2 linked regions of the Saccharomyces cerevisiae S288C genome follow. The protein of the gene in region 2 interacts with the protein of the main gene of each other region in a pairwise test. Each region holds a gene or a part of one and is shown on either strand. Other genes may lie near its edges.

Region 1 (3,402 bases), on a different chromosome or scaffold from region 2:
ATCTCTAAATGGATCTTTCAATTCGTGCGTGTTTTCACTGGAAAAGGACGTATACGAATCTTGCCTGCTCAGCATGTAATGGTCTCTCATTCCGCAAAGGCGCCTCCAGAGCTTGATTTCATTCCATGCAACGGGCGCCATCGCACCAACAGCGAAGCATATCAATACGGTAATGCACACTACGGTGGCTATTTTCAGGACATGTCCCAAGATGGAATAAAAGGCCAAAATTTCTGATTGATTGGATGAGCAAATCCCAGTACTGTTGTCAAGGGACACGGGAGGTACGTACAAAACGGAGGTATCTCCGATTATATTGCTGGCATTCACGGCCTTGATATTCTTCCGAACTTCATTGAAGGGAACCGAGATCAGGTTCTTGGTTGTATTCTTAACCTGGGCAAAGTCCGGCGTCTTTGCCGATAACTCTTCAAGCTTATCGTTGATTGAGGAAGGAATGTATAAATTGTGAAGCGCAGATATGGTTAAGTTGACGCTTTTGATTGACGACGTCATGTTACTGTCATCGTCATCACCTGTGAAAAAATTCTCTACTTTGGATGCGGCCTTGATCACTTTATTGATTATTTTGGAGATGTCATTCAAGCCCGTATCCAATTCATTAGCCACACTTGAAACTGTATCATTGACTAAGCTAATCAGTTTTTCTGTAATGTTAGTAGCAACGTCCACGGTACCATCAACGGCACTAACAATCAAACAGGCATAAGTGCCCAAATACAGGTCAATGGCAAAGTTTACCAGCCCCTCGCTCGCATATACTATAAGTGATAACGTCTCTAGCGTAGCTTTAACAGTCTCCTCCATACCCTTCTCGATAAGATAATTCCCCATGATACCTAAATAGTGCGGCGTGTTGTCTGTCATCTTGGAGTATAGTGAATCAATACTGTAACAATTGGACAAAATATACGTTTCCGAGACTTCTATCGCATGTTGTATGGATTTGGAGAAAAACAGAAGCTTCAGCATTGCTAGCAGCAAAACCAAAGTATACTTATTTAGCCATATTTGAGAGAGCCTGTCACCCAATTGCAAATAGCATTTAAAACCGCTCATATCATCAACGTTCACAAATTCGAAAGGGAATCATCCTAACCAAATATTTCGGGATTATCTTAAGGACTTATGTTGGTCACATTCGTCATATATATATACCTCTTGCCAGCAACAGGCCAGTTATAAGTTAAAATTAATATGTGACGCACTTCTGAAACAGTATTGAAACAGTATTGAAACATATGTATTACCCGGACTCTGCATGCTCTGTCGTTCATTTTATTTTCACCTAAACGAAAATCCCGTGAAAAAAATTTATATCGCCTTTCGCTCTTTTGTATGTAGGCATCATCGGAAATTTGCATTGTGTGAAGGTTGTGCATATAAAGGGTTTTGCATAACGGACGTTTTTCACGTACTCCGTCTGAGCATCAAGTGAGGCTTGAGTTTACGTTTGTTTTTAATAATCAGTTTTCATTCTACTATTTTCTTGCGCAATTGCTTATCAGATAGACCTTGTAAACAGCATAGGAGTAAAGACAAATTCGGTGTAGAGAATAAAAGGATGGTATCAGCTTTGAATCCCAGAACTACAGAGTTTGAATTTGGTGGGCTGATTGGTGCCTTAGGCATCAGCATAGGGCTGCCTGTTTTCACTATCATCTTGAATCAAATGATAAGGCCCGATTATTTTATTAAGGGATTTTTCCAGAATTTCGATATAGTTGAGCTTTGGAACGGTATCAAGCCATTGCGCTACTATCTGGGCAATCGTGAATTATGGACTGTCTATTGCCTGTGGTATGGAATACTGGCAGTTTTGGACGTCATTTTACCGGGCAGAGTCATGAAGGGTGTTCAGTTAAGGGATGGTTCGAAGCTTTCGTATAAGATCAATGGAATTGCCATGTCTACAACTTTGGTCTTAGTTTTGGCTATCAGATGGAAATTGACTGATGGACAATTGCCTGAATTGCAATATCTGTATGAAAATCACGTTAGTTTATGCATAATATCTATTTTGTTTTCGTTCTTTTTGGCGACGTACTGCTATGTTGCCAGCTTCATACCATTGATCTTCAAGAAAAATGGTAATGGCAAAAGGGAAAAGATCTTAGCACTAGGTGGAAATTCAGGAAACATCATTTACGATTGGTTTATTGGTAGAGAACTGAACCCTCGTCTCGGCCCATTAGATATCAAGATGTTTTCAGAGTTGAGACCCGGCATGTTGTTATGGTTACTGATCAATCTTTCCTGTCTGCATCACCATTACCTGAAGACTGGTAAAATCAACGATGCATTGGTCTTGGTTAATTTCTTGCAAGGATTTTACATTTTCGATGGAGTACTAAACGAGGAAGGTGTATTAACCATGATGGATATCACTACAGATGGGTTTGGTTTCATGCTAGCGTTTGGTGACTTAAGTTTAGTTCCATTCACCTACTCATTACAAGCGCGTTACTTGAGTGTTTCCCCTGTGGAATTGGGATGGGTGAAAGTTGTCGGTATATTAGCCATAATGTTTTTGGGTTTCCACATCTTCCACTCGGCAAATAAGCAAAAATCTGAGTTTAGACAAGGTAAATTAGAAAATCTAAAAAGTATTCAGACAAAGCGTGGTACAAAGTTATTATGTGACGGGTGGTGGGCTAAATCACAGCATATCAATTACTTTGGCGATTGGCTGATTTCATTAAGTTGGTGTTTGGCCACCTGGTTCCAAACTCCCTTGACATATTACTACTCGTTGTACTTCGCCACGTTGTTATTACACCGTCAACAACGTGATGAGCACAAGTGCCGCCTGAAATATGGCGAAAATTGGGAAGAATACGAAAGAAAAGTTCCTTACAAGATCATTCCATATGTTTATTAAGTTTTTCTACCACTGCTATTTTCTTCATTATCTATGTATGTGTGTATACATGTTATGTATTGGGTGAGTATGAGGAAGAAGAAGAATAACAATTGAAAACGCTGGAAAAATTAAAAGGGGCGGTGGTCTATCTATGCAACGCTCCCCTTTTCGTTACATGAACACATCAAACTTGTATATCCTTTGAGTGTTCTTTAATCAAGTCATCTTGGTATTTTAGTAGCGTTTCCACTACTTTAGGGACAAATTCAGACCTAACCAATCCATCAAAAGCATCAAACCCTTGCGACAAAATCGGAATATCAGACTCGTCATGCATAAACTCTGGAATTTCTAGTTTCCCGTCCGCAAGTATGCCGTCATCATCCTCGTCGTCCTTATTAGTATCCAAATTTGTCACTTTGACGTTCATCGACAACTGTAAGTCAAAGTAGCAAATCGGCTTGCCCTTCCTTTGAGATACGTTGGAGTCACCGGTGATGCTACTCACCTGGGTTAAC
Region 2 (2,845 bases):
GGGAGACTTCCTTATTCAGGTTTTCCACGGTACCGGGATTGACCAGCTCCAAAGATTGTCTGTGAGAATGCAATTGTTTGTACGTATCCACAACAAAGCTAGATATTGGGTTTGAGGAGAAGAAATTCCCCTTGGATTGCTTCGCAGTCAAAGGAGAAAGGGCCGGGATAGTGGGAATTTGAGAGGCCTCTGCTAATGGAGTTGGTGCAGACATGATTCACGTCGGTTATTGGTAGTCTTTTATTGTTTTGCACGATGGTTAAAAGGCCTTATACGCATACACCGCTTTCAAAGAATTGAAGATTGAGTTCATGTCCACCAAAAGACGCCTTTTTCACTTTTTGCAAACGCCGAATATATCCGTCGTCGTAGGTGATAAAAAGCTAAAGAGAATATAAACAATAGATAATAATAATAATAATAATAATAGTAATAGTAATAATAATAATAGTTATATTATAATGGACTACCGCATGACTGATTTCGTGAGGTCGGGCAGCTTAGAACTTTTTGTTTTGCAACAAGTTCTTACCCATGTCCCTGGCAGTCAGGTAGACAGTTCTATATAGAGTGTATAAATCAAGAGTACTGGAGAAAGTGTCCAAAAACCCGAATGGCAACATACATGGAATCCAGCCTTGAGCCAATTCAAGGGCAAAGGAACCACCTGGCATGCTGTATTGCTTGGCGTATCCCTTCTTCAAGTGATGAGTCATACCAGGAGTGTAAACTTCGGCTTCAGTGGCATATGGCAATGCTGCGATTTGCGTACCATGTAAGATGGTAAAATAGTCGTCAGCAAAGTGAACACCTGTGTGCCCTTCAGTACCAACAGCGGTTCCGAATAGAATTAAGTACTCGGATACGGAAGCGTGTAGGATGATCATTTGGCCCATCGCACCACCAGCATTGTTGAAGACCCATTCTTCTTTGACGTACCTGTTGATGTATTCGTCCCCGTAATGAGAGGCAAGTGCGTCTCTGACATCCTGTAACAGGTCTTCAGTGGATAAACCTTCTGCTGCGTTGTGTTTGCTAATCACCGAGTTACATATTTCGTTCAAAGTTTTTGGATCGAACATGTAATTGGTTGGCAACCAGGTAGTGAACAATACGTTCATAATGTAGCCTACAACACCAATCAACAAAAGGAGTGGGAAAAACTTCATGGCTATAATGGTCTGGGCTAGTCTTAGTTTGATTGAGCGACAAGAGAGATCTGAACCCAGTGTCAAACGTTACCGCTTCTTTCTCTTATATACCATGGCGCTGCAGATCTATCCAAATTCTTCCATACTGAAAATCATCCAAACGAGAACGATAGCACCGGTAGTTTTCCTTGCGGCTTATACGAGGGCCGTGGTTCGATTCTGCCCTGGAGCGTAAGGGCAGGAATGTGCATTGCATAAGATCATAATGGGATACTTCGTTGATAATAAGCAGAATCAACATAGCAGACTGCTAGTGGCATACTCCACAACCCTTGTTTTTTTTTTTTTTTTTGTTTGAATAACTGTACTTCTATAGAAGCTCTATCTACAGCATGTTTGACGTTTGCTAAGTTGTAGGGAGAAAAGAGGAAAGTGAAAAGAAGGTAAGGAATTTATCGGAACTAGAAAAAGAGTTTGGATCTTCGTAGTGAAGGTATCGAACGTAACGCTATGACTCCCGAACAAAAGGCCAAACTAGTATGTGTGAAAATGATTCTGTGTTTGTATTTTAACCGTGGGTTTCTTTTTACTAACAATTTAACGATGAGATGAGCTGTGCAGGAGGCTAACAGGAAATTAGCAATAGAACGGTTAAGAAAAAGGGGAATACTGAGTAGCGACCAATTGAATCGAATAGAAAGTAGGAATGAACCTTTAAAAACCCGGCCTCTCGCAGTTACTAGTGGCAGCAATCGGGATGATAATGCAGCAGCCGCAGTACATGTGCCAAATCATAATGGACAACCGTCTGCGCTTGCTAACACTAACACTAACACTACTTCACTTTATGGTAGCGGAGTAGTTGATGGAAGTAAAAGGGATGCGTCGGTACTCGACAAAAGGCCAACGGATAGAATCAGACCTAGCATAAGGAAACAAGATTACATTGAGTACGATTTTGCCACCATGCAGAACTTGAATGGTGGTTATATCAACCCTAAGGACAAGCTTCCAAATTCTGACTTTACCGATGACCAAGAATTTGAATCTGAGTTTGGATCTAAAAAGCAGAAGACACTACAGGACTGGAAAAAGGAACAACTTGAACGGAAAATGCTGTACGAAAATGCACCTCCTCCAGAGCATATTTCAAAGGCGCCGAAATGTATTGAATGTCATATTAATATTGAGATGGATCCTGTGCTACATGATGTGTTCAAGTTACAAGTTTGTAAACAGTGTTCTAAGGAGCATCCAGAAAAGTATGCACTACTGACGAAAACAGAATGTAAGGAAGATTACTTTTTAACAGACCCCGAATTGAATGATGAGGATCTCTTTCATAGACTAGAAAAGCCGAACCCTCATTCGGGGACATTTGCAAGAATGCAACTATTTGTTAGATGTGAAGTGGAAGCCTTTGCGTTCAAGAAATGGGGTGGAGAAGAAGGTTTAGATGAGGAATGGCAACGTCGTGAAGAAGGAAAGGCTCACAGAAGGGAGAAAAAATACGAAAAGAAAATCAAGGAAATGCGACTGAAAACAAGAGCTCAAGAATATACTAATAGATTAAGAGAAAAGAAGCATGGGAAAGCCCATATTCATCATTTTAGTGATCCAGTTGATGGAGGTATTGATGAAGACGGTTATCAAATTCAAAGAAGAAGATGTACAGACTGCGGGCTAGAAACTGA

The links. The genes of interacting proteins can lie anywhere in the genome.
Region 1: the proteins of ERG2 (region 2) and ERG24 interact in binary tests that used the Saccharomyces cerevisiae proteins (3 or more experiments, as listed by UniProt).

Annotation. Positions count from the first base shown.
Region 1 is NC_001146.8:108,595-111,996, reverse strand, and holds ERG24 (delta(14)-sterol reductase), read left to right. Parts: upstream 1-1,585; coding exon 1,586-2,902; downstream 2,903-3,402. Other genes in the region: pheromone-regulated protein PRM1, read right to left, coding at 1-1,080; HCH1 (Hch1p), read right to left, coding at 3,069-3,402. UniProt on the Saccharomyces cerevisiae protein: Delta(14)-sterol reductase; part of the third module of ergosterol biosynthesis pathway that includes the late steps of the pathway. ERG24 reduces the C14=C15 double bond of 4,4-dimethyl-cholesta-8,14,24-trienol to produce 4,4-dimethyl-cholesta-8,24-dienol.
Region 2 is NC_001145.3:665,861-668,705, reverse strand, and holds ERG2 (C-8 sterol isomerase ERG2), read right to left. Parts: upstream 1,170-2,845; coding exon 501-1,169; downstream 1-500. Other genes in the region: TOM complex pore protein TOM40, read right to left, coding at 1-214; DNA repair protein RAD14, read left to right, coding at 1,662-1,688, 1,773-2,845. UniProt on the Saccharomyces cerevisiae protein: C-8 sterol isomerase; part of the third module of ergosterol biosynthesis pathway that includes the late steps of the pathway. ERG2 catalyzes the reaction which results in unsaturation at C-7 in the B ring of sterols and thus converts fecosterol to episterol.